Drosophila melanogaster: one gene and its partners. Changing the gene in region 1 together with any one later gene gives a genetic interaction. Each region holds a gene or a part of one and is shown in the gene's direction. Other genes may lie near its edges.

Evidence for each region. Genes that interact genetically often act in the same process or in processes that back each other up.
Region 2: of ben (region 1) and nopo, changing one suppresses a phenotype caused by changing the other (phenotypic suppression), as found in Drosophila melanogaster (one study listed by BioGRID).
Region 3: of ben (region 1) and Syx7, changing one suppresses a phenotype caused by changing the other (phenotypic suppression), as found in Drosophila melanogaster (one study listed by BioGRID).

The regions. Positions count from the first base shown.
Region 1 is NC_004354.4:13,992,598-14,002,157, forward strand, and holds ben (bendless), read left to right. Parts: upstream 1-3,747; 5' UTR 3,748-3,926; intron 3,927-4,018; exon of another isoform or gene 4,019-4,200; intron 4,201-5,497; 5' UTR 5,498-5,563; coding exon 5,564-6,019; 3' UTR 6,020-7,208; downstream 7,209-9,560. Other genes in the region: Ste12DOR (stellate 12D orphon), read left to right, coding at 7,613-7,623, 7,681-8,181, 8,242-8,248. UniProt on the Drosophila melanogaster protein: Catalyzes the covalent attachment of ubiquitin to other proteins.
Region 2 is NT_033778.4:18,179,030-18,184,941, forward strand, and holds nopo (no poles), read left to right. Parts: upstream 1-1,587; 5' UTR 1,588-1,692; coding exon 1,693-1,808; intron 1,809-1,867; coding exon 1,868-2,083; intron 2,084-2,141; coding exon 2,142-2,495; intron 2,496-2,555; coding exon 2,556-2,613; intron 2,614-2,668; coding exon 2,669-2,788; intron 2,789-2,844; coding exon 2,845-3,048; intron 3,049-3,110; coding exon 3,111-3,350; 3' UTR 3,351-3,490; downstream 3,491-5,912. Other genes in the region: CG5726 (uncharacterized protein), read right to left, coding at 442-803; CG5721 (uncharacterized protein), read right to left, coding at 3,512-4,789, 4,845-4,961; CG33958 (uncharacterized protein), read right to left, coding at 5,757-5,912.
Region 3 is NT_037436.4:21,444,190-21,450,550, forward strand, and holds Syx7 (syntaxin 7), read left to right. Parts: upstream 1-1,644; 5' UTR 1,645-1,834; intron 1,835-1,971; 5' UTR 1,972-2,065; coding exon 2,066-2,186; intron 2,187-2,253; coding exon 2,254-2,323; intron 2,324-2,673; coding exon 2,674-2,818; intron 2,819-2,891; coding exon 2,892-3,308; intron 3,309-3,366; coding exon 3,367-3,462; 3' UTR 3,463-3,939; downstream 3,940-6,361. Other genes in the region: Alp1 (alkaline phosphatase 1), read right to left, coding at 486-561.

The DNA.
Region 1 (9,560 bases):
GTCTGTTGCACTCACAAAAACGACGAACGCGACCCCAAACAAAAAAACAGCAACAGAAGCAACAAGAATAACACGAGGCGCACGGATTTGGCAGGACATTCATTGGAGTCTCGAATACCCTTCAACATCTGGCTGAGAAACATCAAGAGATTTGATCTGCTTATATAAGCTTATATGACACCAACAATTACAGAACAGAATCAGAATAATGTAGTTCTTAGAAAATTGAACATTTTCTATGAGAAATCTGCAGGATTTTCAAATGTCACGTATTAGCGCCGCAAAGCATGCAACAAAATTCGAAAAACTCAAAAACCTGTGTAAATTATTTACTTTTATTTATTTATTTAGAAGCGATGAATCCATAGAATGGTAAATTATTTACTGTAAATAGTTTTGATGTTTATACTTTTAAATTACTTCCTGGAGAAGCAAATGAAATATTTTCACGTTTCTGGCTAAAAACAAGCGGAAGCCATATGATATATTTTGAACCTCAAGGTATTCTGATTTTTTGCGAATGGACACTTGTAAATTACAACAACAACAACAACAACAACAACAACGAGTCTAATGGACACTTTTGCCTCAGTTTTGCTGTTGTTTTTATTTATGCGTGCCGCCCCCTTTCGCCCAGCCCGCCGCCCACTTTTGCTTAGCTGCCCTTCGACAGCAACAAACAAAACAGAACAAGAAAAATGGCAAAAAGAAGGCAAAAGGAAAGCGCCGCTTCTTTTTGTTTGTGTTTTCGCATTATTTGTTTTGCTCGTTTTGTTCGTTGCGTTTTTGGACTCAAGAGTAGGCCTCTCGACTCGAAAGCAAGAGCACTACGCTCTTTTAAAATGCATTTGTTTGCAAGTGCAGGCGAAAGAGAAGCAGAACAAATTCTGATTGGAGATGTTGCTAAAGTTCCTTCCTTTGGCAACATGCTGCTAAAGCGAATGTTGCGCGTTTCTCTGTCAGGATGAAAAAAAAATTGCTAATAAGAAATTCTAAGAAAGTTTCGAAGGAAATGAGGGGGGGGGGAGGCGGGGAACTCAGGTGCTAATTACCAAACAATACTGAGATTTATTTCCCCCCAGCTGAAGTGCTGTCAAAGTTTTGCGTTTTGAATATTACAAACAAAAAATCCCAACACAAATAAATACCATTTTTTACGTTCCCCAACTTACTCGGTACTTTAAGCTCTTGATTATTTTTGCAATCAATTTAACTTTTGCAGCATTTAAAACAAATGACTTATTTTTAAATAAAAGTCTTTCTTTACATCGTTTTTGATTTAATTAGTTGTTAACTTGCATTTTTTTAACATAATCAAATTTAATAATATTAATATTGTTTTGATATATGGAATAAACTGTAAGCTTAATAAATGGTTATTTACGATTGAATAAAAGCGAATACATCCTAAAACTATTTTGTTGGACTTCAACTAACTTAAAGCTTATATAAAAAGATATTGTGTTCATGTTAAATATTTTCTTTTTAAATTAATGTAAGAAATGGATAAACCATAACCAAGCGACCATGCGAATTTTATAAAACGCAACCCACCACCGGGAATTACAGGTCAGGAAAAAGAGCTAGTGAACTACGCCATGTTTTTGTAACTATGATAGAAAATCGTCGGCCATTAAAATGGGAAAACATTGAATACGAATAGTACTGAAGGAGCAGTGAGTTGTTTAAGTAATAATACTACTTACCAAATTATATTTCCTCTCTGATATGATTATGATAAAATCCCATTCAATTGCAAAATTAAGTTATAGACTTGTCGATTTTGCAACATTTTCATAGTAAAGCAATCGCTCTCCATTTTAGTTAATTTTTCTATCATTTCTCGGTGTTCTGAAAGAGGAAAAAATGCATTGAGGTTTTCTATTCCGATATATGTATGTACATATGTACATAGATACATCTATTATTTCAATGACTTATTGTACGAAAACCAAGAGAATTTCATTATATTCTACCACTAAAGAAGTGGCTATACTAGTCTTTCTTTTTCGACTAAATCTTCACTTTGTAGCAGAACTTTAAAACGTCCTTCGATTTGAATGTCTTCTTACACTCTTCACCTCGTCTTCTCTATCAATTTCTTCTCCCCTTTCCCCCCTCACTTTCTATCACATTCCTTTGAAGATCAGCTGTAGCGGTTAGAATTTGGCCATATCGAGCGTAAAAATACATAGAGGAAGGCACTAAAAACAGCTGCAGCTCAAGAGCGAATAAAGGTCGCCCCCGTTCCGCCCTCTCTTGCTCTTTCATCCCCTCTCGCACCAACCCACACACTTTCACACACACACACACACACGTGCACTGCGTAGGGAAAAGCAGCGCAGTTGCAGCAGAAAAACAGATAAACAGCAAAGCAGAAAAGAGGCAGGTTGCTCTCTCTCGCTCTCACTTGTGGGCTGGACTACAGTCGTTGTTGTTGGTTTGGCCAGCCTAAAAACGGAGATCGCACGTGTGTGTGTGTGTTTGTGTGCGGTGTGTGTAATGCTTATGGCTGTCTTGCTGTTGTTGGTTTTGTTGCCCTTTTGCAGTTGGTGTTTGTTTTTATCTCACACTCGCACACACACATGCAACCGGCCTATGCAATCGAACGAATACGAATGGTAAATAGCATGTGTGTGTGCGAGCGAGAGGTTTCGCTTGTTTTTTTTTGTATTTTAGTTTTCTGCCTTCCGCCTTGTGGTTTTTGTTGTTGCTCATTTCGGCTTCTTGTGCGTCCATTGGGCATTGCATTCGAGGTGTGTGGGTGTGAGTGCAAGTGCGCAGTTGTGTGTGTGTGTTCGGACAGCCTCTCTTTTTAAAAACGCATAAATGTTGATTACAGTAAATTGACAATTTGTTGTTGTTGCTATCTCGCTTTTTGGGTTTATGTTTTTGCACGTGTCTGATTGGAATCCTGTACCGGCTCCTTTTAGACTTGTTAAATAACGAAACCTATGTACAATCATTTTTTTAATCATTAATTTGCTATCGAATAATACTAAAGAAATAAAATTTATTTTAATTTGCATGCAATTTTTTTTTATTATAAGTCTTATTGTGATAAAAGTTTTTGGGAAACACATGGTTATGATGTTAAAAAGAACATAAAACCATATTAATAAGTGCTAATATGCAGTTCAAATATCGCTTTATAAAGTGCTGACATAAATGACCAAATTTCTCGAGAATTTTAGATGTATTTACCTTAGGTATGAAGTTAGGTTACATCTGATGAATATTAAAAATGCAAAGCATTGGTTTTAAGCAACGAAAACAAAGATCAAAGTCGTCGATTAAATAAATCCCGACTAAATTTATTGCTTATTCCCGGGAACTTACACTTTTTGTTACTTCTCTTTCGTGTTTCTTTCAACTGGATTTGTCCCGCCAATTTTCCAATCAAAATTTCTGACAGAAAAAAGCTAAGCGCTCCAAAACCTTGGGTTGTAGCGTGCCGAAGAGCTGATTGCTATGAAACACTGTCCTATTTGACAGCCGCTAAGCGCTAGAGTTGTCACCGAAAATGCGTTTTTACTAGTGCGAACAATAAAATTACCTGCGCAAAAATGGAAAAATGGGATAAAAAACAAGATGAGTAGCAAAGAAAATATTTAAAGATATATTTGTACTGAAATTAAACTGAGAAGGAGGTGCAAACGTGTTGCAAAAAAATTGAATTCACATCTAGGCACCCTAGCAACCCTGTCATTTTGACATTGCCGCTCACACGCACGCCACACAGACGCACGTTAGTCACAGCAACGCACACACACACTACCAAACGGCTACATTTTTTTTCGAGTGTGTTCGACATTCATAATTTTTGTGGTGGAGCTGCCTGCAAAATCGAATTTTATCAGTTTGCCAACGAAGTTATCGGCCATAACTGCAAATAAAGTTCAGCAATAACTTGGCGCTGTTACGATGTGAGTTTGTGTTTTATCGAAAGTTGCATACTTTATCTAAAAACCATTGTTTTTGTCCAAAAATGTTGTAAATGCCCGAAAAAATACCAAAGTGAGAACAACAACAACAACAGCAGCAAAAAAAAAGCAGGAGCAGCAGCAGCAGAAGAAGCAGAGGCAGCAGATAAAATTTAATATAATATCGAAGAAGAGCAAGAAAAAAGCCGTAAAAGTTGATAAATCGAATATATATGTGTGTGTGTGTGAAAAATAATAATTGCGGCGTTCGCACCAAGTATTCGCCGTTTTTTTCTATTAACTTAAATTCGCCAAAAAAGCGGCGTTTGCTTTTCTTCTTTTCTTGACTCGCCCTCTTTGTCTCACCCATCCGCATATTCTCTTTTCGCCTTTGTCTTTTTCGTGCGCGTTGTCTGCATTTTGTCTGTGTGCGTGGGTGCGTGACTCGCTGTGTCTGTGTGTGTGCGTATGCAAGCGAAATTGTTGCTTGTAAAAAAGAAAAATCTTATTTGGTTTTTTTTTTGTAGTTTAATTGCCAACATTATTGATTTTTCAAGCGGTTCACCCCGTTTCTCCCCCTCCGCATTCCTCCTGTCCAATCTGCTTCTTCTTCCTCTGCGGAACTACGTGCATTTGTCACCCAAAAGGGAAATCAATAAGTTGGTAAAACAGCGAAACGCCGCACATTATGGTTAAATTATTGCTGTTTTCGCGTTAATAACGCAATTTCTTTTGTTTGCTTCGAGTGTTTTTCGTTGCTGTTGTTGTTGCTTTCGCAATACAATTTCTGGAAATTTTGGGGCATTCATTTATTGCCTTTTGTTTCTGGTTTATCTGCGTCTTTCTTTCCCCTTCTCCTCTTTATTTTACTTGATTTTCCGTGTGTCTGGGAAATGTAAACAGTTAAAGGAGCCGCAAGGTCACGCTAAAGGAGTTGGCAATAGTGGGTGGGCTTTGACTTACACAAGCAGAAATTTATTTTGAACTTCGCAAAAAGTGTAACGGAAATAAATCCAGAAAATATTGAAAATATTGGTTTACAATATAGTCTAGATATCCAGAATCAAGTTAATAACTTTGAATTCCGTTCATATACTTCAATATAAATATTATTAAGTACTACAATTTGAAAACATCTTTAAATATACAACATATTTTGAATTAGTTTATTTTTTTTTTTAGCCACATAGAGACATCTTTGTGGCATGCTAAATTCTGTAGTAAAACTTTCTTGGGGAAAGTGAAAGCCACGTATCAGACCAAAATCCACCCAACCCTGCACACACGCATCCCCATAAAGAACGACCTTGAGCTGCAAAAAGGAAAATTCTCTTTGACTTGCCACGCTCTTCCCCAAGAAAACCAAGTGAAACTCCAATTTACTAATGCTACTATTTCACCGATACATGTAGTTGAGCCCTTATTTAAATTAGTAATTAGTTTAATTTCACAGTTGAAACCACGACTGTAAACATTAGGGATACTAATTTATAGTCTTAATTAACGTTGAGTGGATAGTGGATGATACCGAGGAACTACTTAATTGGTTAACTTCACTCCGATCTCGTTTGCAGCTCAACGAGAAGGTCCAGACTCAACCCGCGTTTCCAGTTCACCGCGTAAAAGGAACCAGCTAAACGATGTCCAGCCTGCCACGTCGCATCATCAAGGAGACTCAACGTTTGATGCAGGAGCCAGTGCCTGGGATCAATGCCATTCCCGATGAGAACAATGCCCGTTACTTCCATGTGATCGTGACCGGACCGAACGATTCGCCCTTCGAGGGCGGCGTGTTCAAGCTGGAGCTGTTCCTACCGGAGGACTATCCAATGTCAGCGCCCAAAGTGCGCTTCATCACGAAGATCTACCATCCGAACATCGATCGTTTGGGCCGCATTTGCCTCGACGTGCTGAAGGACAAGTGGAGTCCAGCCCTGCAGATCCGGACCATATTGCTATCCATTCAGGCACTGCTCAGTGCACCCAATCCCGACGATCCGCTGGCCAACGATGTGGCTGAGTTGTGGAAGGTCAACGAGGCGGAGGCCATTCGCAATGCCCGCGAGTGGACCCAGAAATATGCCGTCGAAGACTGAACGCCCGAGGTCAGGAGGAAAGTCAGAAAGCGGATCCGTCAGTTGTATCGGCGTTTTTCCAGAAAGTGGGTGCGTGACATGAACGGGCGGGTGGGTAAATTGAATACTTTAAAAGCAACCAGAAAAACCTAAAACATACGAAAGAAAACATAAAATAAGAAAAAAGTAAGGAAGCAAACATAAAAAAAAACGATTTAAGAACACATTTTTTTTTCGAACCTTCTGGGGCGGGATATACATATAAAATATTAATATATATATTTTTTTCAACCAATCGATCGGGGCGATCGGCGAAATGGAGGAGAGATAGCGAAAGCATTCTTTATGTAAGACGTATACATGTATCCGAAACAAACTAAAAACGAAAAAAAAAAAAAAAAAAAAAAACAGTAATTGGTTTTAGTCGTTTCTATTGATTTGTTCGAGGGTTCTGGTGTCTATATACATATAGCCGTATATAATTCTATGTGTAACTGAAATAACCAACCCATAACCATTAACACATGTAGCATCAGATATGATAAATCAATTGGAAAGGCAAACAAGAAGGGATTTTGATTTCCTTTAACTCGTCATTTGAAAACTCGGCTTAAATGTCAATTCAAAATAGAGAATTTTGATTGTATCATTTTCAGTGTTTCAGAAAATTTAAGATGTGATCGTCCAACTTGTAGACTTTACTTTTCTTAACTAAGAGTTCACCATTTCGATTGATACTTGAGCTTTGCCTGGGTTGTGTCAGAGTCCCTTTGATAAACGATAAATAGTTTTTACTCGAAAACAATTTTTTTTAACCAAACAATGAAGCCTTTAAGCTATTAGTAATTTTTGAAAAAAAAAAAAATAAAAAATATATATATAAAAAATATACAAAAATATGATACATGATCAAAATACAATGAATGCATACACTATATATTTATACAAAAAAAATACAAAAAGAAAAACAAAAGTAGTGGCTTGATTGCGTGAAAATTTCAAGTGCAGTTCTCAACAAAAATTGTGTACAGTAATTAAATGTTTGTCACCGAAATCACTAAAGGATAATCCAAAAAACAATAGCAACCGAAAAGCAACCATAAATCAAAGAGTAAGCGAAAATAAAAATTCAGTTTTCTTTAATTTTAATTAATTTTTTTCTAAGAAAAATAAATAAAAACGAAAAATTCAAATAAAAATTATAAAAAATAAACCGAGTTGTGTTTTATTTAAATAGTTAAGTGGTAATATAACTGAATGGTAAGTTTATTAATTAATTTAAGTGTTAAAAAATTACTGAATTTATAGGATTTTGATTTGGATACTATTTATAAATAGTATCAGCCGATGCTGCCTTGTCGAAACAATGACATTTGATTTGTTTTTGGCCCAACTGACACATAAAATATCGTATGCATAACATATTATGAAATAAAAGAACTAATACTTATTATGCCAGCCGAACATAAAACGAATTTTCGAGTCTAGAGTTCCCATCTGGAAGGGCATGACAGAGTCCTGGCAGGCCTTTTAGCACGTGTCAAAAACTCAAAGAAGAAGACGATGACTTTGAAGTCTACAAATCATATTTCTCTGAACAAGTGAACTGGCAACATGTCGAGCTCGTAAGTAACTAGGTTTTTCCTATAGAAATTATAGCAAGTCACAGTAAAATCTTGTAGCCAGAACAACAACAGCAGCTGGATCGATTGGTTCCTCGGGATCAAGGGCAACCAGTTCCTCTGCCGCGTGCCCACCGACTACGTGCAGGATACGTTCAACCAGATGGGCTTGGAGTATTTCAGCGAGATACTGGACGTGATCCTGAAGCCGGTGATCGATAGTTCCTCTGGCTTGTTGTACGGCGATGAAAAGAAGTGGTACGGCATGATTCACGCCCGATACATCAGGTCAGAGCGTGGCCTGATTGCTATGCACCGAAAATATATGCGAGGAGATTTTGGATCGTGTCCCAATATCTCCTGTGATAGGCAGAACACCCTGCCAGTGGGCGTCAGCGCTGTATGGGGCAAGTCAACCGTCAAGATCCACTGCCCACGGTGTAAAAGCAACTTTCATCCGAAGTCTGATACACAGCTGGACGGAGCGATGTTCGGGCCCAGCTTCCCGGACATCTTCTTCTCGATGCTGCCGAACTTGACATCGCCCCTGGACGACCCACGGTAAGTAATTCTCCGAATATAGTCCTGGTTGTTTTCTAAACAAAGCGCTTGCACTTGCAGTACCTAGGCTTTCGGTTGCACCAAAGAGCTTTGACGCAACTCAAATCGCCCAAGCCAAAGAATATAATATAATTAATTTTTTTCTAAAAAAAATAAATAAAAACGAATGATTCAAATTAAAATTAAAGATAAATCGAGTTGACTTTTATTTAAATTGGTAGTGTAACTGATTGGTAAGTTTATTCAATTTTATGTTTAACAAGAGAGAATGCTATAGTCGTACAGATATAGTCGTATATGGAATTCCGCGACTATCAGATACCCGGTACTCATCTAGTGTGTACGGATTATGAGCGGAGTCACCCGGTGCTTCAGCTGTCTTAACAGCGGATTAACATTTTATATATCGATGCTAATTGAACTGAACTGTATTCTTTCTTTCTCTCTTGTAATTTTGCGGTCATAGCGATCAGACGTGATTTTTGTATATGAAAAAATAAATGAAGTTAAATAGTGTATATATGATTCTTATTTGCGAACCCCATTACAATGATGTCAAAGCAGTGAGGCATCACAACTATTCATTGGTGGCCCATGAGGGGAACCTTGCTCATAAGAATCATAATTAATAATTGCTAAAAGCTGTTTGGCAATTTTATCTTCGTGGTCGGCTTCATCCAGATAAATCACCGTGCCTACGTTTTCTATCGCGCTCGCTCTCATCACGACAGAGCAGTATACGCAAACATTCGCGCTCGCTCTCATCACGACAGAGCTAAGTCCCGTTGCCCTTCGATTCCGTTAGATTTGCCGGAATCTCTGCCAACTCAAAAAACAAGACGTCAAAGAAGAACACCGATAACATACGAGCATTTGTGCATTACATACAGTGGAGCAACGTCAGTATAAACAATGTCGAAATTTGATCAACTGGTGCGAGTTCAAACTGACCGCATTGAGTCTTTGAAGCGCTTGTTCAGTAATGTGAAAAAAGACTCGAGTGCGCGGAAAACGGAAATATATTTCGAAAAACGTTTGAATCAAATCGACGAGTTTAACAAAGAATTTCATCAGGCGCATCACACACTTATATGCATGGCAGACTACGAAGAAAGTGTGTATAAGCAACAAAATACAATCAGCCAATTCGAAGACCTGGGCATGGAAGTTTACTGTTTCGTGGCCGAAGAAAAGAAACGAATTTATCCAGGCACAGTGACGCACAACGAATCAGCTAACTCTACAATAACAACACATGTAGAGGAAGTACGGATACCACTGCCAAAATTACCAGTTCCGAAATTCTCTGGCAACTGCGCGGACTGGCCAAGTTTTCATGATGCATTTTTACGCTTAATTCACAATAATGAGCGTCTGGA
Region 2 (5,912 bases), on another chromosome or scaffold:
TTAAGAACCCAAGGGTTCTTGAACGCGTAAAAACAAATTAACGTTTGAACTTGATTAGTAATTCGGTTTCTGCATTTCAAGCATTTCATTATTGGAATAACTTATAGAATGCTGTAACCTATGGGCGAACGCCACAAGCTCCCAAATTTAACGAATTACTCATGCTACTTGTAATGGAATGTCATAAATATTACAATAAGGATCGGTCTTCGCCAGGCAGATATGTACTGCATGCATTAAGTCTTGTTATCACATGGCTGGCTTTGATGGGCTTGGGAGCTCGCCTTGCCCATATGCTATCGCACCGCACTGTACCTACGCCGGGTATTTACATACATCCATATGTATATGCGAAAAGAGGTGGCAAATAAACACACTACTTATGATATGATTAATCATCAATGAGCGAACCAACCAAACGGTAGAGATCGGCACACATACCAAAGCATAGACTCGTCGCGCACTATGTTGCAGAAGTCCGTTTCGATGGTCTTGATCTTGGAGTTCAGCACAATGCCATCGTCCTGCAGATCAAGGTTCCTCATCAGGGCGATGATGTGGTCGTAGGCATAGCCACCTGTTTGATTTTGATAGGCGGCGGGGCCAGTGTTCAGGATGGTACAAACATCCCGGAGGCGCGCTCCCGTTCCCTCACCACCGCCCCCGCTACCGACACCACTGTGCGAACTGTGACCACTGTCCACCGCACTGTTGTTGTAGCTGTTGTTGCCGTAGGAGGTGGTGTTGCTGCTGCCACCGCCGCCACTGTTGCTGCTGCTGACCATGTTGTTGGCCATTTCCATTTCTCGCCGCGATCACTGCCGTTTGTTGTTGTTATCGCACGGTTGTTTGTCTGTCCCTTCCACACACACTTCAGTGTCTGTTATATTGGTACGCGCGTGTGTGTGAGTCGTCGGTCCACCAAATAAGAATCAGCGTTGACAAAGGTGTCGAAATGCGCACGCCAAATGAAACACCTTTTCGCTCAGCTTCCGCTTTGGGTGCAGGTGCAGTTAGCTCACTGGGACCCACGGTCGATTGAAACGCAAATAACGAACGAAATTAAATGCACAAATTTATAACTATTCCTATTTATTATTGCTATTTGACGACTTTTAAAAGAGGTGGAAAAACATCGATGTGTTGTGTTCTTTAAAACATCGATGTTTCTCCACCTCTAGATAGCATTGTCGCGATATCGAAAGCACACGGTGTGCTTTCGTAAATAGCGCCACAGTGCTCCCGCTGTTATCGATAAGACCACCATGGGGCTAAAGTACGGAGCATAAGTAGCTGGATTTAAGATGGATTGGCAGAATAAAATATGAAATTTATATCCACAGTATATCTTAAGAAGTAGGGTTTAAAAAGTATCCACACATACATATCTTTCTAAAATTTAGGATGAATTTTAGTTTCAGTGGCTGAGTAAGCGTATTTGTAAACATTATTTGTTGTTTCGACTTAAGCCAAGTTAGTTAGCAATTAGTTTGTCGTGGAAATATCTATCAGCTAACAGTTATTGTCTACAATCGATTCTTGACAAATACTGGTGTGGTGAATTCCGCTCATTGGAGCATCGTAAAATCGCCATCAGTCAGCTGTGTTTCGTTGGGCGCGCAAACTGTTCGGCGTGCGTTTATTTGTTGTTCTTTTGTAATAACTATTTTTATGTAGTTATTTGTGCCAAAAATGTTGAACTTAAACTGCGTGATATGCGCCGAATTGTTTGGCCAGGCCGACGAGGTTTTTGCCACAGTTTGTGGTCATATGTTCCACCACAACTGTCTAAATCAATGGCTCGATCGGTAAACAACGCATAAGGATATTTCTGATTCCCGACAATAAAATCAAATATCTTTCGCAGATCAAAGACCTGTCCTCAGTGCCGGAATAAGTGCACTACCCGCAACATATTTAGGGTCTATTTCAATCTGGCCAACTTGGATGTGAGCCACATCGATGTTGGTTCACTGCAGGAGCAGCTGGACAATGCGATGTTGTCCATGAAAATGGTCGAAAAAGAGCGCAACAAGGATGAACAGCAGATTCGGGATCTGAAGGAAACACAAAAGAAGTGCCTGTATGCTTTTGTATACACATTGCCTTAAGTACCAGACTGATGCATTTCTCATTTGCAGCAAAACCATAGCCGGTTTGGAGCAGAAGGTGCAAAAGAAGGATTTTCTCATCAGCAGCTATGTCGAGCAAATTGGCGTCCTCAAGAGTGATGCCCATGTCGTTGATGGGTTGCGCAAGGAAAACAAAACATTGAAATCACAGATCCAGAGTATGGAAGGCATATCGGCTATTCTGGCGGCTGGCTCGGCGGATGCCGACCGCTTGCTCAAGAACGAGGCTGATCCACATGTCCTAGCCAACTGGGTGTCCACTCTCAAGAGGGAGTTGCGACAATGCGAGAGCAAAAAGACGGAGCTCAGGAATGTAGTGAAGGTGGTGCAGAATGATCTGCGAAAGGAGATCGAACTAAAGCGGTATGCTCACAACATTCCAAACGTGGTTTTTATAATTGATATGTGCTCATTCGATTGCAGCAAGCTGGAAGAGCGTGTTTCACACCTGGAGAGCGACCTTTACCAGGCGCAGGAGAAGGTTTGCTGAGCCTTCTTTAACACAATTTCGATTAAACATACTATTATCTTTTCAGCTACAAGCTTTTGAGAACAAGACCGCTTACTTGGACTCACCAAATGCCTCTTGTGGTCTGAACAGCAACATTTTGGCCCTTAAAAGGGAGGAAAGGCGTACCACTATTTCCCCTACAGTTGTGAGTAGACACGAATAAACGAAAATATAAGCTACTAATATTTTGCTGCCCTACAGAAGGAGAATATTAAGCGCATCGAAGAATCCACCTCCCCATATCTCAACATTAAATCCAGCAGCGTCGGGTTGGCGCATCTTCTTAATACTAAGGGTAACATTGGGCTGGCCAAGTCTAAAATATCGCCCATCAAGGGAGTCGGTGGCGGTGTGTCTATGACCAGCGGAACCATACGGAAAACCAGCAGTGATCTCAGTGAAAAGGTAAACGCAATAATTTTGCCGAATTCCACTTAACCATTTAAAAATTCCGTATATTCCCCCAGTATTCAATCTTCAAGAAGCCAAGACTGCTGCTGGGAAGTTCAAGTAGTTCTGCGTTGACGGCCACGACGGGCTCAAATTTTGTCTACAATGGAATGGGCGGTTCTGAGAAGGTTGACCCCTTTGCGCAGCGCGCCGAGGAAGAGGGTCTTTCCACAATCAGATCCTCGACCGCCCTTTCCCGGAATGTCAACCAGCGTCTTAAAGCCGGCTCGCTGCGCAACTTTAACCTGGGCAAATAAGTCCACAGCCATGTGATCATAAGAGACTGCCCCAGTTGGGTATTAGCACGCGATTGGTATTGAGGATTGCCGATTTTGTTAGTTAGCCAATGCATGAATTAAGCAATAGTAATAATTTAGCAGTAAATATATAAAAATACAAAAGGCATATGTGTGTGCGATTAGGCGGCAATTTTTTTCTCCGCCGTGCCCGTCCATTCCTCGCGCAAGTGGACACTACAGCCGAGGTCGCGCAACGCCGCCTTGATGTCCTGCTCCACACTGGGGTGCTCCTTCATTGCCATATTTAGTAGATCCTCAACGCCGAAGGAGATCCAGGTTTCACACTGGTTCCGCGACCGTGACACCATATTGCGGATGGCCCACGCTCCGTTTCGCTGGACTATCTTGTGTTTGGGATGGGCGCGAAGAGCCTCCACGATTACTTCGGCGATGCCGGTATCGAAAAAGGCGGCACTGTGTTCCTGCACTCGGAGTGTCAGAGTAGTCACGCAGGCCAAAGCGGCGGCAACGATGTTTTCATTGGACTGGTGCGTCTCTAGCAATTGCTTTATTATAGGAGCCACGCCCTGCTGTACTATATGTGACTTCACGGAGTCTTGGCCAGCCAGGGCACGTAGCAACTTTAAGGCCTCTCTATTTAGACGCACCTCATCCAAATTCGAACTCATGATCTCGAAGACGGACTTCAGTCCACCAGCCTCGTCGATAGCTGTACAGAGTTCCTGACGCACAGCCAGTGTTCCAATGGTCAGCAGAAGATCAGCCAGAACATTAGGATCCTGATAGGCCGGCAAAAGTTCCACCAAGGTGATGAGCACCTCGCCTGCTATTTGGCGGGCGTGCTCGTGGGCGCATCCAAACTCAACGCGAATGTCATCATCCAGCACTAGGAAGCGGAAGACGGCGGTCAGTTCACGCACCAGGCGGTCCTTCCCTTTCCCTAAAAGGGGCTTCATGAGTTTGAGTGCGGAGGTATTCATGATATTCTGGCGGTTCATTTCATGCATGATGCAGGCCTTCTGCAGCCATTGAAGAGTCAACAGGGTGACTTCTTCACTCTCCACTTTGAGGGCCAGTAACTTGAGAACCACGGCCATCGCCTCGGCATCAAACAGATCCGGCTGCTTGTGGGTCAGGCTGTTGATGGCTTCCAAGGACTTTTTTAACACGGATTCGTTGGGTGACTCAGCAGAGAGCGTCTCCTCCAACAGGGTGATCAGGGCATCGTGGGCTCCATTTTTGCCGGCTAGAACCCTATGGGCTAGCGACTTTTTGCACTCAGCATCCAAGGTGGCCAGCTGTTCCAGCAGCTCCGTTGTTTCCTCCAGTTTTTGGCCAATGTGCTCCTTGATCTTGTCCACCGTTTCGTTGATGACAGGTTGGCCGGTTTGCGGATTGACGGACAGGTCCTTGATAATGTTGGCCAGGTTGATGCCCTGCAATCATTTCATTAAAGTGAATCTACTGGATGACTATGTCGACATTACTTACCTGTGCCTCGAATTGCTTGATGGTCTCTTCTTTCGCCTCCGAAGGAGTCATCGAGAACTCCACAACGTTCTCCTTCACAACATCGTCGAAGGTGTCCTGCGATATAACCTTGGCCATGGCAGTGATTCGTCCAATTTTGGCTATGCCCTCAGCAGCTGCAGCTTTAACTTTTCAAATTTTACTTTGTTCTCTCTGTAACTTCCCACACACACACACACGCCCACACGCAGGCACACAGGCACAGTTCGAATTTAGTGGCTGCGGTCACACTATCGCACTTCGCAGGGCGGTCATACTTCCAGCTGATTTACATTCGATACATATCGTTGTACGGTTTAATAAAACTCACCATTGAACACTCAAAAAAATTGTTGTATTAATACTAACACCGAATTTGATAAAAAATAAATTATAACCTTATTTTATAACTAAAGAAGTGAAAGAAAAGATTTTAGGTTTCTTTATATATGTCCCATCACTGTGGTTGGAAAACGAATGGTAACAATGTATTTCTCGCATATTTTTTATTAACATAAGTCTGTATTTTGGCCGCATGCTTGTGATTTGCACTGTGTATTACATGTAAAAAGACGATTGGCCATTGAAGCGTTTAAAGTTGTTGTACACGATGCATCAGTTGCACTTCCACTTTTTTTCAAGGAAGTGATTTAATTATTATATTTTGAAGCGAATTTAAAATTAAGACGAATTTTATGTTGTATATTTTATCTACACTTGGTGCACCGTGTAACTTCAACTTTTTGATAGAAAGGAAAGATACTTAGATATTTAAATAGAGAGATTGAGAGAGCGGGACACTAATGCATGCACATCCAAAAGAAAAGCACCTCGAATTTATGGCCAGGATAAGCATTATTTGGCCTAGCCGGAAAACTTGCAGTTGGTTGCATCTCATTTCCGCTTTGGCAGCTTGTAGTCGGTTGGCGGATGCAGCTTCAGGTGGTCAAGAAACACGGGCTGTATGTCCGCCCGCCACGAGATCTCCTCGCGAGCCCTAACCGGTCCGTCCTTGCAGGTCAGCCAGTAGGTGCTCATTAGACCCTTACC
Region 3 (6,361 bases), on another chromosome or scaffold:
ATATGCATACACATTTCAAGTACAACCTCAAGAATTTATCAATTCCAAGCACATGTTTCGTTTTACAAAACAAAAGCACAGACACAATTGCCATTGTTTTCCACTCCACTTTCGAATTAATCATTAAAAAGGGAAATTGCTTTCAGAAGATAGCACATAAATAAAACACCGAAAGAAACCTATGGAAATTAAGCATTAAAATTAATTCAAATTTAAATTTTAAAGTATTAGTCTTATATCCACTTTCGTTAAAACATTCTCCTTCGGAAAAAGTGATGTTTGACAGCTCTGTTAGCGGGTGTCAAATATTTAATTCAATTTACGAGTATTTTGCTGACGCCTTTTATACTCCGTTTAGCACTTGATTAATCAATTCTGCATATGTTTTGAGTTTGCTTTCGACCTGGCACACTCTCACTCGTTTTTCATTTATTCATTTCGGGTCTTTTGGGCCCGTTTCTGATCTCGGTCTTGACGTTACGCACCTGGCCCATATTTGTACTGGCTGCTACAGGCCGTGAGTTGGAGGGCAAGAGCCGCAAAGAACCGGAGAGCACGCATCGCACGGAATTTTGATGAACTAACTTTCGACTGGTCGGGGCGTTACGAAGTCTACGGATCGACTAAGCCGCATTTCGCAGTTGGAGGCTTATTTATACGAGCCCGGTAAGACAGGGACCGAAAATGCGAGTCGAATTATAAAAAAACACTGAGACAATAAATTAAAACCCGTCCCTGTATTATAAAGCTTCTAAATACACCTACCAACCGGAATTTCGGGATGAAAGAAAGGCATTTATGCCCTTATTCAAATTATGCAGCCAGCACAGCTTAGATTAAAATGATGTTCTCCAAAAATCAGGTTCGTTGCATTGGTCATTTGCATAATATCTTGCATCGCAGTAGGAGATGATGTAATTAGTGGATGCATCGAAGCAGCCTAATTCATTCTGCGATCTAAAGTTCATTAACCGTGCCAAACACCGGATACTGATAAATATCTCCAATACACTAATTTGTAACGTTAATTTGAATTAAGTTGCTTTTGATTTTTTTTATAAACGAGTTGCACTTATTTTGTCTACCAGTTATTTGACTTTTTTAAGAAAAGTAATAATCTTCAATTTTATTTCTGCTAAACAGGTTTCAAATACCCTGAGTTGTACAATGTTAAATTTTAAGTTTTGAATAACATTCTGGGTAAGCAAAATAGTTTTGTATACCTACATTATTATTAAATTTGGTATGAACATATTTATTGAACGGAAGGAAAACTGTCTAAAATTCGACTTATTTGTTTTATAAGGCATCATTGTTGGTCATTTTCATTTCTATACGACATTTTCCTAATCTAACATTTTAATTTTGGAGAAAAAGTGCAAAATAATAATTTATAATTTTGAATAATAACATTAAGCAGTTCATTTTAGACATGGATCGATTTTCAATAATAAATCTCAGGACTTATATACATTTTCGAGACAAAATATAGGGGGAAGAATATAATTAAAATGCAGTTCTATATATCTGCTATTTGAATGCCGCGCCAGATATCGATATAATTGAAGTGCTGTAAAGCGTAGCAAGGAAGTGATGCTAAACGCATCACGCGCTAAGGCACTTTTGGGTATTAGTCGAAAGTGACTTTCTCACAAGTTGGCAGTTCCATTCCAATTGTTGTAAAAACCTAGCTAAAATTTCAGTTTTGCGAACATTCCGCCTACTTAAATCAACAAATTTCAGATTGCGAAACGCGTAAAAAGTGCGAAGGAAATGCTCTAAGATCAAGGTCACCGGCGAAGGTCACCAACGACAGCTAGGGCAACCACAAAAGGTGTGTGGCTGTGCAGCAAACAAAGGGAATGCGAATTGCAAACATTCCGACAAACAGACAAACTAACAAACAAGCACGAATATAGAATATAGAATCAAGAACCTGGCTGAGACGCATAAAAGCGAATGTGATATAAGTGGGCCACGGGGCTAATTCGATTGTCTGTCTCTCCAGGAACAACTTGTCTCCAGCGATAACTCGAAGGTCATCAAAGTGTCTGCCTACGAAAGCATGGACTTACAGCATATGGAGAATGGTCTAAGCGGCGGGGGAGGAGGTGGCCTAAGCGAAATAGATTTCCAAAGGCTGGCCCAGATTATAGCCACCAGCATCCAGAAGGTGCAGCAGAATGGTGAGTGGCGTCGAAGCACTTGCCAACTTTCGCCTATGACTAATCTAGGTTTCTGTCTCTTTCGCAGTGTCCACGATGCAGCGCATGGTCAATCAACTGAACACGCCCCAAGATTCTCCGGAGCTCAAGAAGCAGCTGTAAGATGATTATCATTACGATCTCTTCGTTTGGAATTTAAACTGTCCCCATAGATAGAACCCATTGCAGATATACATCGATTATTCGAATATCTCTCAGACAAATCATAAATTCTAAAGACATAGTGAAGATCTCTATTGGGTGTTTACTCACAATGTCTAAAAATCTTCTTAAGCCAATACAGCCTTTTAATACATTTTGCGCACATCAACCGACCACATAAACCAACAGCAAAATAACATTGTAGTCAGTCATTGGTTTTGAAAGTTTAAACGTATCAGCACAGTGTGATTCACAAATCAAATCAATGTATAACGCACGATAAAAATAACAATCCCTTACTCCACAGCCACCAAATAATGACCTACACCAACCAGCTGGTGACCGACACAAACAATCAAATCAACGAGGTGGACAAGTGCAAGGAGCGCCACCTGAAGATCCAGCGGGATAGGCTCGTGGACGAGTTCACGGCGGCACTGACCGCCTTCCAGGTTTGTTTTTGTTCTCCCAGATAAGCAAATGGTTTTGTGAGTCATGCTGATTGTTTATCATTGGTATTTTTAGTCTGTTCAGCGCAAGACGGCGGACATAGAGAAGACGGCGTTGCGGCAGGCGCGCGGAGATAGCTACAACATCGCCCGTCCACCCGGCTCATCGCGTACCGGCAGCTCCAACAGTAGCGCCAGCCAGCAGGACAACAACTCCTTCTTCGAGGACAACTTCTTCAATCGCAAATCAAACCAGCAACAGATGCAGACTCAGATGGAGGAGCAGGCGGACCTGCAGGCCCTCGAGGAACAGGAGCAGGTCATACGGGAGTTGGAGAACAACATCGTGGGCGTGAACGAGATATACAAGAAGCTTGGCGCCCTGGTCTACGAGCAGGGACTGACGGTGGACTCCATCGAGTCGCAGGTGGAACAGACTAGCATTTTTGTCTCGCAGGGCACGGAAAATCTGCGCAAGGCGAGCTCTTACAGGGTAAGTGCCGCCCCTACAAGGTTATTATTTTAAATAATTTAAATATGTTGTTTATTAGAACAAAGTGCGCAAGAAGAAGCTTATTTTGGTGGGCATCCTGAGCGCCGTGCTGCTGGCCATCATCTTGATACTCGTTTTTCAGTTCAAGAATTAGAGCCTTCCGGCATCTCCGAATGATTCAAACCAAACTAGTAAATTGTTGTGAAAAGACAAGAGTTGCCGCATGCAGGCCCCTAAACCCCGTAATTCCCCACCCAATCCTTTGGACCTTAGGCGAGATTATGGCTTTAATCCTTAATCCAACTTCCAATACTGGCTGAAATCGAAAACTGCGACTCGTAGACGAAGATATAGTGTTTTGAGGAGTATTCACCGGCACGTGCATCTGTTATATTTGCTTTAAAAACAATTTTATATTTTATGTGTACTACTTTTATTATTACGCACCCTGTATATTGATTATTAGTATTGATTAACAACTGTTGGCTTCAAATTCTAATTATGTTCCGAAACTCATTCGCCAGCGCTTTGTATTGTATTGTATTGTATTTAGAGTTAAGAGGCAGAGGAAGCCATATATGCGATGGCATACACACATGTACGAAAAATGAAATAATAAACATGAAAATCGATCCTGCGTGCGTTGAAAACACTTGGAGCACTTCATTTAGGGCCCGACCTGAATGAATCAATGAATGGAACTCGCCAGCTCTTCTGGGCATTCGGAGAAGTGCATGGTCATCGACTCCTCCTTGGCTTAGCGATCATTAAGATTTCGTGTTGGCCATTGTTACGCATGCTTTAGCGGCTTAGGAGCTCCCATCTCCCGACTCCCAACCCGATCTCGATCCCAAAACATTGGTACCAATCCGACTATGTGTTCAGCGAGCGCACACTCTCCGATGGCACATTAATGCCGCGACAGACCTGGATGCGGTGGACCCACTTCAGCTTGCTGCATCGTTGAGGTGTGTCAGCCGGGGCTAAAGGGTTTCCTCGTCGCCGGACCCCATCTTCCTCCACATTTGAAATTCCAGCTCCGCAGGCCTGCATACAAATTGAGTTTAAATTTTTTGCCAATTCACTGACATTGATAGTTCGTTTGGGCATCATTTGTGTGGTGGCTTCTTATCCACTTGTTGGCATCGAGTGGTTTTCTCGCATGCATTTAAGTGCAGCTCATTTCCTTCTCGAACTCGCCCCGGGGCTCGCCAACAATCATTTCCCGCCAAGTCATCCAGTTTTTTCTGGCCCAAGTCGTTTCGGATCTCTGCCCTGTGGTTCGCGGGGTATATTGAATCATTCAGGAGAGTGGATTAGGTATTTCAAATGGGGAAAAGTGTGTTATTTTCAAACTAAAAGGTGAGTAATTACTATTATAATTGTGGTAATGATATATAATTTATAATGTTATTTATTAAATCGCTGTAATATTTTCATGTTAATAATTGGCCTAATCTGATTCTTAGATATATTTGCTGGTAAATTTAATTCTTTTACCTAAAATCGTAACTATTATTGAGTTTAATTTTCAAAATATTTCTGAGTTCGCAGAGTATCTGAAAATGCCCCTGAGGGAATTCTTACCCATTTTCTGGTTGTTTCTTTTGGTCCGCTTGGCTGTCAGTGGTTGTCCAAATACGTCACCGAGCTGCCCGACCAAGTCGACTGGGAATTATTGATTACTCGTCCGTGGGGCCAAGGGTTAGGCCCCGATTGTTGCACGGGCATCACGGCCTAATCACATCGATTATGACTACATGCGGCACTTGGCAGGTTGGGCAGTGGACAAACCGGGACCAAATCCCGACCCGGGGCCATGGGTCACGTTGTGAGCTCGAGTGGCGGAGGTGTTGGAAATTAAGAGAAACTATGCACACCTACATGGCCCACGGAAACACAGCAGGTAGTCAGTCGTCCGGCTGTCTTGGCCAAAAGGCTGCTGTTTGCATAGGCCGTAGTCGCTAAACCTGGAACCATGACAATATTGACATCTTCGGTGGTCGACGGACATAGCCACCGAATCTCATTTGCAAAGTCATTTTGTCCAAATAAATCCAGCCTCCGTCTTTGGTGATTTTCCCAGCATAATAATGTGCGACCGAACACAAGCCGCATGTTTTGACTTTGGATGGCAGTGGAACGTAGAATGGCCAGTGGAAATTCCGGAACTTGGTAAGCGCTGGATTGACTTACCAACTTGCTAGCCAGGATTTTGAAATTTCTGGTCCTGGGAAAATTGCAGTTTAGAGGGGAAAACTGTGAAATGGCAATCGCGCATCTTCCGGCTCCTAAACCCCGATAATCCCTGCACATTTCGCACGTTGCTTTGCAATCAGTTCCCTTCTACGTACATATAACTCTGATGATTGTAGCAATGATGAGGTTGTTGTGCGTGGTGGATAAACATCCGGTTTATGGCATTTCCCAAATCAATAAACTTATTATTATCCCATTTCCAACTCTACCAACGCTACCGCGCCTCCCATTTTATTTGGAAAAATTCTTAATTACGCGTTCTTATGAATGGAAGACGTAGTGGCTCGATTCTTCTGCTCTTACAGCATCTTAAGTGGAAATACTTGCCGTGGAGGGCTGTAAATCTTTTGAATTTTTATTAAAAACAAAAATACCAAATCAAAAGTTTCGTTTGATTGTTCCGTTTTCACCTGTTAAGGGGGCAGCGGGGGGTACAGCACCTGATGCCCAACACTTTCGACAGTTTTATTAATGAAATTCGCAGAAAAAGCTTCCCACAGATGTGCTGCCTCTCTTTTTCACTCGCCGTGGTTTTCCACCATGTCAGTTTTTCCGTCATACAGAACAAAAAATAATTCCTCTTTATAAAAAGGAATAATATACCTAAGTTAAGGAATAATTTACATCTGTAATTCTACCAAAAAGTGTCCAGAAATAAAATGTTGTATAAATCTAACATGAATAATATAACTTGTGCGCTTCAATTAAACTCTTCACTTCGCTGCATATAAAATAAGTGAATAAGTCGATGTAAGACTAAATATGCATTTTCCTGTGTAGCTGCGAATTGATGA